2 linked regions of the Drosophila melanogaster genome follow. The protein of the gene in region 2 interacts with the protein of the main gene of each other region in a pairwise test. Each region holds a gene or a part of one and is shown on either strand. Other genes may lie near its edges.

Evidence for each region.
Region 1: the proteins of Tsf2 (region 2) and CG32264 interact in a two-hybrid assay, tested with the Drosophila melanogaster proteins (one large-scale study listed by BioGRID).

The regions. Positions count from the first base shown.
Region 1 is NT_037436.4:3,784,880-3,789,872, reverse strand, and holds the start of CG32264 (uncharacterized protein), read left to right. Parts: upstream 1-1,912; 5' UTR 1,913-2,316; intron 2,317-4,993.
Region 2 is NT_037436.4:12,529,727-12,535,657, reverse strand, and holds Tsf2 (transferrin 2), read left to right. Parts: upstream 1-1,933; 5' UTR 1,934-2,045; coding exon 2,046-2,106; intron 2,107-2,179; coding exon 2,180-2,607; intron 2,608-2,686; coding exon 2,687-2,820; intron 2,821-2,885; coding exon 2,886-3,046; intron 3,047-3,105; coding exon 3,106-3,557; intron 3,558-3,620; coding exon 3,621-3,785; intron 3,786-3,851; coding exon 3,852-4,910; 3' UTR 4,911-5,222; downstream 5,223-5,931. Other genes in the region: CG4069 (uncharacterized protein), read left to right, coding at 1-146; Pmm2 (phosphomannomutase type 2), read right to left, coding at 239-1,003; CG34242 (uncharacterized protein), read right to left, coding at 1,415-1,591; nst (nesthocker), read left to right, coding at 5,623-5,723. UniProt on the Drosophila melanogaster protein: Iron-binding protein and component of septate junctions that form the paracellular permeability barrier in epithelial tissues.

The sequences.
Region 1 (4,993 bases), 8.7 Mb from region 2:
CTGCTGAATGAATGAATGGCAGCCCTTTTATCAAGATTCTCAAGTTAATTTTGCTGAAGGATAAGAAGTTCGGGGAAAATGGGCGGGGAAATCGAGGAAAAACTGACATTGAAGACGAATTGTTCGCTCGGAATGAAGTGGAATTTTATTCCGGTGGGTGGAAAACTTTCCTTGACGATTGAATAAAACGCTGAACTGTTGGGAGAACTCAAAAGCACAATACTATTTTAAAATAGTATTACCAAAGATGTTGGATACCATAAATGAGTTAAGCACAAACTCCATTTGTTTATAAAAATATAATGTGCAAATATGATTTCCAATTTATTTATCCATAAATAATGAAAACATTTAAACATAATATTTGAATCTTATAAATTGTCTCTTTAAATATTAAGTTCGTAAATATATTTGAACGATCATTTACAAAATTAATTTTCTTCGTATAGTTTTGGAGTCACACAAAACATCGGCGAGAAATTTCTCGCATGCGATAAACAGTAAATATTGCACTGCTTGAAGCAGTGCTTCGCAAACTTGCGGCGCCTCTCAAACTGCTATTGTTGTGCTCTCTCCCTGAAAATTTTCTCTCTTTGAATTTTCCATTCTGTTTTTCATTTGCGGACCTGCGCTTTTCATTTGCCGGCATTTCTGGAGCAACAACAAAATTCCAGCGCTGAGTTTTCCCCCTGCCATGCCCCCCTTTTCGTATTTATATATTTAGCTCTCATTAAATATTTTCAACTAGAGCGAAAGATACTTCCGTTTCCTGTTTTATAAAAATAGTACTTGCCATATATAAATATACATATTTACTATGTATATAAATATTTGTAACTATATATGAGGTAAATACTTACTTGACTTAATATAACTAACTAGAAAATAATTCAAACTCCTTATCAAATTCAAAGTAAAATTTGGGAAAATCTACCATTTAGTTCTTCTATATATTATTATATATAAGATTATACTAAAAGTTCACTTTTCCGAGCGCTCACTGTAGGGTGTTTTTGTAGTGGGCCTAAAAATAGGAGACGCCACCACTCGTGAAAATTCTTGAAGAGCAGTTTGGGAAATTCCTTACCGAAAAGTTATATATGGCCGAAAAGAGATTTGCCTTGCGCCATTGTTTAGTGAATTGAATTTTGGTTCAGTGTGTATTTGTTTTTGGAAAAACAAGGTGAAATTGCTTTTGAAGTGCGGTTGCTTCTTGTTTTTCTTTCGCTTCCCTCGAAAAGATTTTCATTTGCCGATTGCCTCATTGGATTTTGAGGTATTAAAGTTTTCGAGAGGGGAATTAGTATCGCATTATTTGGATGTTTCTGGTGCGGAATGCAAATTGATTTTCAATAGTTTTTCGACATTTTCCAGCTCGCCAGAGGAGGCGGCTTTCCACCCAAATTGGCAATTATCATCGGGTGGCGGAATTTGTGGGTGCGAAATGCAAATCAATGGGCAAATCTAATTCAATTTGAGTTCCTATAATCAACTGCTGTGAATGTGAAATGAAAGGCAGACGAAGTTCACTCGTCACTTGATTCAACGTCGTTTATTAATTTGATTTATATGACTTAATGATTAACCAAATATTTATCATATTGAAAAAGATTGACCATTTCGATTAAAAACAAAGATACAACTATATTATCTTTGTAATAATATTTCGATGCTGTTTATATAGCCACGTGTAAATACGATATGTTATCAAGAAATTTATTAATAGATATAAAATCGAGTTTGGCGCCAAATTAAATTTTGAATTTCCAGCCGCTCTCTTCTCGAGTGTGACCGCGCTGCCGACAAATGCCGCGAAACGGTGCAAATTCGGCCTTATCGGCCGCTAAGCAGCTGGCCACACTGCGGCATATAAACAATTTTTTGTCACAATTTTTTTGAGAGCAGACGAACGCACATCGAACGCCAATTGGGGATCGTAAAGTCGGAAAAACAGCGTCGCGCTCGCTTCGAAATAGAAAAAAAACACAATAAACATTAGGTCAAAATCGCATTGGCAATCTTTTAAGTTTCGATTTGATTTAATTTCGCGGTGCAAAGCGAAAGAGAATTTTGAAACGTTTGATTTTTGTTGTTTCGCCGCTCTCTTCGTTGTTGTTCTTTTTGTTGTTTTTTCCGGCGCGTCGTTTGGCGTTTTTAGTGTATGCGTGCGTGTGTGTGCGTAACTACGTGCAGCTGTGTGCGTGCTTCAGTTTGATTTAAATAAATTATTAGTGAAAAGCAGCTGAGAAGAGTAAAGAATACGAAAAAGTGCAAGTAAACGCAATAAAAATATTGCACATTAAATAATCAACAAGTGTAAGTGCAAAGCAAGTGATGTGCAAAATGCAAGAGCAGAGAAAAGAAAATAAAAGCAGAGAAAATGCAGAAAGGAAAATTGTTGTAACTTTTTAACAGCCCAATATCGAATTTAAGTGGCTATTAAAAATCGAAGATCGAGGCAAAGTGCAAAAGGCAACAAAACTACGAAAGCGCCCAAAAGGAAAATCCGGTTTTACAACTTCTCTCTTCACACACTAAACACACACATACAAAACACTCACACTCACACCAGCGAACAATCGAATTCTCTCTGAGAAACTAAAACTAAAATTCCTTTGCTGGGTTTTAATGAATTTTCTATGGGAATTTCACCAGCTAACGAGCAGCTAAAAAAATAATAATCGTAGATAAACAAATAGTGTGAATGAAAAATCAGCTGCGACAGGTGATGCAAAACAAAATACGCAAGGTGCAAAGAAAAAAAATACTTTCATGTGAATTCGATCACAGTGAACGCTCAGTAAAGAAGGAAGCTATTATCTGATCATATCATTATATTATTTAATTTAGAAAACAACTTTTAAAAATTACTTTAGATAATTAACTCATATGCTCATATCATTTGAAGTGCTAGAAAGTTTAAATAAATAGTTATCCATTTTAAAGCTCCACTGTATCTCAAGTATTTAAAAAACCATCCAGAAAAGTGAAATCAATAACAAAAGAATTTGAAAAAAGCGGAAAGAGCGGTCATAAAAATAGTATAAACAGAAAATAACAATAAACCAGTCAAAAAAATAAGCAGTTACCTGTCTCACTCTCTCTTTCCTTAATTCAAACATTTGCGTAAACAATAACCGCTTTACAGTAATTTCGGGCACCTGCTTTTTGTTTACACAAATGCATAAATATGTTGAATATGAATAAATTAATTCATTCAGCGTGTACGGGGCACGCTGCCTCGCTAAATGGAATTTTCACACGAAAAGTGGGAAATATGTGAAGAAAATATAGCGCCAACTTGTGTTATCTTATCCGTAACACAATTTTAATGATGGTGCAATTGAAAAAAATAGCAGAGAAATGTGCTACAATTGCTTCCTTATCAAAAAAGGTATTACCTGCCGGAAAGAGATAGTGGTAGTAGTGATAGGCGGGGAAAGAAAGAGATGGGTGTACGGTGTAGGAAATTACATATTTCATTATTTCCTCGCCCGATTTTTCCGACCAAATATTTTTATCTACTTACAATGTTGTCTAGACAGATTCCTTCGCTTTTCTTCCGTTTTTTTGTTGTGCCACCCATTTGTATATGTATGTACATAGATGTGTATAGGAAAAGTCTGGTAGTGGTGTGTATACTGCGAGATTTCGCACCCTCTCCTAGGATTTTCCTCTGCCGCCGCCTTTACTGCTTTTTGTTGTGCTCCAGACTTCAGTTTACTCCACTTTGCGACGACTTTCGACCCCCCCCCACACCCACAGCAGTGGCAGGCCCTTTTGTGAAGCACCCCCCTTTGCAGCATCCAGCAACCCCCAAAACGCATTCTCTGCTCCCTTTTATTGCCTTTCCTTGTTGTTTTCGGACAGTGGTGCTTGCCTAATTGAAACTAAGGCTGTCATAAGAAAAGAAGTCAAGACAAAAACTACACTTAGTTTATTCTGGGATTACCCAGCTATTAAACACAAATTGAAATATTGTGTAATTATAAACAACAGGACATTTTTCGAGATTCCAAATTCTTTGTTTACTGTAGAGCATCAGCTGTTATAGTCAGCTGACTCAACCGAAATGCACAGTGTGACCATGCTGAGCAACTAAAATAAAAAATTTTTGGAATCCCCGTCAGTTTACCATGTAGTTTACTAAAAATTCCTTAGATAATTGCATACTGTGGTGTTTGGCTTTGTGGGCGCCGTTTGCGCGCAATTTTAAATTTATGCGAACGTTCTGTCACCCTCTCTTTCTCCCTTCATATGCCCATCTCTTTCCCTTCTCCGGGATAAAGAAGTTTTGCCGAAACAACAAAAACAGCGGAGGATGACGACTCTTGTCCACCGTTTTGTTTGTGTTTTTGTCCATTGGTTTTTGCTGTCTGCCGCTGTTTTGCTTTTGTTGCTGCCATTGTCGTTGCAACGTCGGAAAGAGACGGAGCTACTGGGGAGCGACAAAGAGGGGTGCTGCAGACAGAGATAGCGAATTCCCAGTGAATTGTGAATTGCGTTCCATTAGCAGCAACCCCGAACACTTGTGCTTGTGGACTGTGCTGCATGGGCACAGTGGAATGGGTTGTATGACAATTGGAGGTATTACTGTGCACAATCGCAATATTTTCCCAATTTAATATTAGCAGATTGGCATTTAAAAAGGAATTTTTCTGTAGCTTAAACAAACCATTTCTGCACCTGATAGCTAATCCACCCCTAATTGCCCACTGTGCATCCCACTGTGCGACAGCTGCTGGTCAAAAGAGCTGATTGTTGTTGGTTTTGCCATTGCTGCTGTTTCGGTTTTTGTTGCCTTTTCTGTTTGTTGCTGCCTCCGTACTTCCTCCATCTCTGCCCCCCTTTCCTTCGTTCATTGAAATTTTCTTGCGGCGTTCGACAAATTTGTTGTTTAAAGTCGCGTGTGCTGGAAGTTGTTATTGGTATATTTTTGTTTTTTTTACGCTGCTGCTTTTACATAAACAATATTTTTTGTTGTACACAAAAG
Region 2 (5,931 bases):
TGCACAAACTGGAATGGAAGGTGCTAATCCCCAATAGCTTGAAGGGCCACGAATGGGAGGATAGCGACAGCAGCAGCTCCGACGAGGAGTGCAGTGGCAGCGAGGAGGATATCTCCAGCAGCAGCTCGGACATGGACACGGATTAAGAATTTCCAGTGACTATATATTAAATTTGGTTAACAATTGTACACATGTATAAAAATGGAATATTTTCAACTGCTGAGTAAGCTCGAAATTCTCACAGCTCCAGAATCTCGGTGAGAATGCGTTGCGTATCCTTGGGAGTATATACCCTATGGCTGATGGTTCGAGGATCGCTATAGATCTCATAGTCATTGCCGCCCGGCTCCGTTTTATCGCCAAAGAAGTGGATTTCCTTGAACTTGTAGTGCGCTTCGATGTGTCGCAGGCAGTAGGTCTTGTCCCAACCATGCGGGAAGACATCGAAGCTGATCTGACCACCAATCGAGTACGTGAGATCCACATCGGCAAACTCCTGCTTCAGGTCCTTGATCATTTTCTCGCGCACCTTGTGCTCAATGTCGTACTCGGCGAACATGTTGCGCTCCTCCCGAGTGCACTGCCTGCCAATGGGACAAACGTTCATCATGCCATTCCGGAATTCGATAAAGGTGCCCCTCTTGATGGGCACATCCAGTTCGGACAGATAGCGCAGCACAAAGTTGATGAAACGCTTCACCGTCTCCTCGCCCAAATGCATGATGATATTCTGCTTTCCCACCTCCTTTCCGCCCTCAATCTGCACCAGCCCATTTTCCGGGAATATGAAGTCGAACTCGTTGAGTATCTTCCTGCCATTCAGCTGCTCGAACATCTTCTCCAGATCCGAGCCTCCGACGATTCCGATGGTCGCCCTCGGCTTAACCCGCGAGTAGAAGAACTCCTCGAACTCCGGAGTGACCACGGATCTGGGCATCGTTAACGTGCCGTCCACGTCGAAGAGCAGCAGGATTTCATCACGCTTCAATGCGGCGGTGGTCATTTTGCATTTAAATTTTGTGGTAAATCAGCAGGTGTTTAATATCCAGATATTTATGTCCACGTATGATTCGAGATAAAGAATTTTACAAGCGGCAACGCAGTGGTGAGAAATCCCCTAAAGCTTTCGATGCACCGGCAAGGGGAACCAGTTCCGGAATCCAAGTGCAATCAAAATTAATGTTTTGAATTGCCTTTTACGTTAGGTTTACTATTTAAAACAATGAGAGTATAAACATTCAAGCACAATCATTTGGATTTTCCTGCATGTATAGGTAACAGTTTAATTCATGGAGTTCATGCTGTCAGGGTACAAATAGTTTCTATTTTAATAGCAATTTGTACATTGCAGTTCTTTATCAGGCAAACTAGAATACACATATTTGGGTTCTTAAGTGTAGCATAACAGGGGGTTCTACTGCCTTTTAATGTGCTGCAGTTCATCTCTCTTGATTTTGCTGTATTCCTGCAGGGTTTTGTATTTCTCAGTGTTAACCATGGGGTCCACAATGACGGGGTATAGGGTGAGGCCCACGGCGCCCACGATGCAGGACACGAATCCAACGAATCTCCAACCACGCAGGACTGCCATTTAGCTAAAATATGGAATATTTTAGCTGACTTTTCGGTTTGTTATTATAAAACACAAAACACCTGGTTGACCGTAAGATGCTAGAAAACGCCAAGTGTGTGGTCACACTACTGTGGTCACCGGTGAAGTGCAGTAAATACTACAGAAGAGATAACCTGATAGAAAGTAAAATATAAATAAACAAGATTACTGTATATATAATAAAAATAGATATAGGTATAGATTAAACTAGAAATATCCTGAATGCTAAATATGTTTCTTGATTCATATCTCACTTAAGCATTCTCCACTGTGTGTACCTGTTGGTATTTTTTGAAATCATGTCTATTTCTGCCCGCTCTGGTTACACTGGCTTCCTTGAGCTGGGCTTGGGTGTGGTGTTTTGTTTGAGTAATTGTTTTTGCAGATAGATCTTTTTAGTTAATACACTTATTAATATTCTTATATCCCGAATATGGCTAGCAGCCTCGTTTTTGTGGCTCTAGTCGGCGCCTTATGTTTTACGCTCGCTAACGGTAAGTTGCGGCTGGAATACGAAAGTCGCCCATTTCTAGGGCGTTGGCATGAGTTAAAACCACGATTTTGCAGCACAACATCACTACGATGAGCACAAGACCACACGGATGGTGTGGTGCACCAAGAGCCAGGCGGAGCAGTACAAATGCCAGAACCTTACGGTGGCCATCGAGCGGGATCGGGCACTATTCGACGAGGTGTTCCTCAATCTCACCTGCTTCATGGCCTACAGTGCGGATGAGTGCATCCATCACATTGATCGCGAGAAGGCACACATCACCACGCTGGATGCGGGCGATGTCTTCACTGCTGGACGGTACAACTCCCTCATACCCATTATGCAGGAGAAACTGGAGGGCGGCTTTGCGGACTATCAATCCGTAGCCGTGATCAAGAAGGGATCTCTACCAGACTTGAACAATCTGCGCGACATGCGCAACAAGAGGGTGTGCTTCCCCTGGGTGGGCAGCTTGGCCGGTTGGATTGTGCCCATTCACACGGTGAGTAGAACTCCTCTTTTAAGTTGATTGTTTATTTGTTTCATTAGGCAACTAACAAACAAATTTTATCGTTTTGCAGCTCCAAAGGGAGGGCGGCATGGAAGTGGTGGACTGCAACAACCAGGTGAAGACGGCCGCCAGCTATTTCAATAATTCGTGTGCTGTGTACTCGCTTTCCGACAAACACAATCCAATTGGCGACAACTCCGATAAGTAATGACGCATAAAAGCCACAATTTTACACACATTAACTAACAACAAATCAATTTTCAAACCAGACTTTGTACGCTTTGCACTGGAAAGATACCCGGAGGACGCTGCTCATCTGCAGATCCCTACTTCGGCTACGAAGGCGCCTTCAAATGTCTGCTTGAAAAAGGAGATGTTGCCTTCTTGCGCCATTCGACTGTGAATGAAATGCTGCAAACCACCGAATTCAGTGAGTTACCAAAGGGAAACTTCTGAAAACCCATTACTGATCTAAGCTGCGTTTTTTAGAGAACATAGCACCCGACACTTTTGAGCTGCTGTGTCGTGATGGTCGTCGTGCCTCCATCAACGATTATCGCCAGTGTAATTGGGGCCAAGTGCCCGCCGATGCCATTGTCACATCTTCGGCTCGCAGCTTCAGCGATCGCAAGCAGTATCAGCAGTTTTTGAAGCGCATTGCCGAGCTGTACTCCGATGGCACACGTGATGATCAGAGCAGGCAGGGAGGACAAAGCTTCAACAGCCGCAACAACATCAACGATCAGAATGCCTATGGCCAGTTCGATAATAATGATCCGTACAGAACGCAGAATCAATACGATCAGTATCGCAGCGAACGATTGGACAGCAGTTTTGCAGAGGAAAGAAACCAGCAGGACGGCACGAACACTTCCATACTCTATGAGAAGTTCCGCATCTTCGAGTCGAAGCGCTATGGCAAGCCAAATTTGCTGTTCCAGGTAAGTGGATCATATTTTCCGTGATCCGAAATACATACTTAACATTCAATTGTTTTGTGACAGGATTCTAGTCGCGCTCTAACCGTGATTCCCGAAGATGATCAGTCATTTACCAAGTACCTAGGCCCTGCCATTAACTTTATCTACGGCATCCGTGAGTGTCCAGTTCCAGCGATGACGCTTTGCGTGACTTCGGAGAATGAGCTTGATAAATGCATCAAGATGAGGGTGAGTTGAAGAGTGAATATATGGATAGCAAGATGAGTTGATGATCCTTTACAAAAACACTTTTAGACTGCCTTGAAAGCTCACCTCCTGAAACCAGAACTCATCTGCAAGAAAATGCACTCCCACATCAACTGCATGCAGTTCATCGAAGCGGGCAAAGCAGACATCTCCGTTTTCGATGCCGGCGATGTCTACACTGGTGGCCTCAACTACGACCTGGTGCCCTTCATGTCGGAGGTGTACAATCTGGGCGAGCCCGAGTATTATGTGGTTGCCGTGGCCAAGGAGGATGATCCCGATACGGAGCTAACTTACCTGAAGGGTAAGAATACCTGCCATACGGGCATTAACACCGCCGCTGGCTGGACATATCCGATGGCGCTTTTCATCTCGAACGGCTGGATTCGTCCCTACGGATGCGATTCGGTTCGAGCTGCCGCGGAGTACTTCACCAAGTCGTGCGTGCCGGGTGCCATTAGCAATGAGTACAACACCGGTGTGCCCTACGACAGCATGTGCGATCTGTGTCATGGAACTAGCTATCGCTATTGTCGTCGCGATGCCTCCGAGGAATACTACGGGCACACGGGTGCATTCCGTTGCCTCGTCGAGGGCGGCGGTCACGTGGCCTTCATGAAGCACACCACGGTGATGGAAAGCACGGGCGGCAAACGCAAGGAATGGTGGGCCAGGAATGCCCTAAACGATGACTTTGAGCTGCTCTGCACGGATGGTACTCGTGCCGAGATCCAGGACTACAAGCGCTGCAATCTGGGCAAGGTTAAGGCCAATGCTGTGGTCACCCGCGGCGGAGTCAACTACAACGAGACCCAGATGAATGCCTACATCAATCTGCTGACCTATGCCCAACAACTGTACGGTCGCAAGGAAGTGGACGCCTTCAGTTTCAGCATGTTCTCCTCGCCGATCGGGCACTATGATCTGATCTTCCAGGACGCCACGCGGCAGCTGCAAGTAATTCCGCCCAATAAGCGCAGGTATGATGCCTATTTGGGCAGCGATTTTATGCGAGCACGCCGCATCACCGACTGCTATGCTGGTGCCTCCCAGTTGGCATTATCCGTGGGCCTGCTCCTCGTGGGTTCGCTGGTTGCAATGCTCTAAGCCACTAGACTCACTTAGATTTCAGAATTCTACAAGCATCTCTAGCACAAAGAGAAAACATATCAACATTTTTACATTCCAAATATGATTAAGTTAAATGTGAAATCCCTTCCGTCCGAAAATGAAACTCTAACTAGCCGAAAAATATCTGTTGAAGGCTATAGTTTATAATTTATAAAGTCCTGTGCCTTATTATAGTATTTGTTTGTGTACATACCAACTAAGACCGTCCAAAAAATGTACCTAGGAGATGTAAGCCGAATCTTTTACAACCGCTTATGTAAGTATACAAATAAAATAACTAGATAAAGGAGTTATTTTGCTTATTTTGAATTAGTATCATTTGAAGAATCCTAATATCTTGACCGCAATTGTAGCCGCCAAATTCAAATTGAATATGTGCGCTAACATCGCTTTGAAACATAGATGTTATTGAAATTTACGCTGGTAAATATTGCATTTAACCTTAAAACACTCTGTATTGTTTATAAAGCCAGTAAAATGTTTGAAATTAAAGAAAATAGCGTAGTTACAAGTTTCAGCGCAGTGTGACCGCTTGGCCGCATAAGCAAGGGTGGAACAGTGCCGCGAAACGACGGTCACACCCGCCTGCACACATCTGTGGAATTGTTAAATTTCGAAAGTCCGGAAAAACCGGACGGAACCTTTCACCTCGCTCTGGACCAGTGGCACCGCCCTCGAGTATCGCAAGATGTCTATTAACCTGCGCACCGTCTACGCCTTCGCCCGCGAGATGTACCCAAAGACCTCCAAGGAGACCATCCAATATGGAACAGCTGGCTTTCGCGGCAAGTGAGTAGTTGCCTCCATTAACGATCTTAATAATCATCATAATCATTATGCTAACACACCCACACGATGCACACGTTGGCGCATTTGATTAGCACACGGCGATTGTTGGTGGTTTTTTTTTTTTTTTGATAAATGGGCGGTTGCAGGGCTGTGATGTTGGAATTTGGCGTTTATTTTTAGATATTGTTCACCTTTTATCAATGGACAT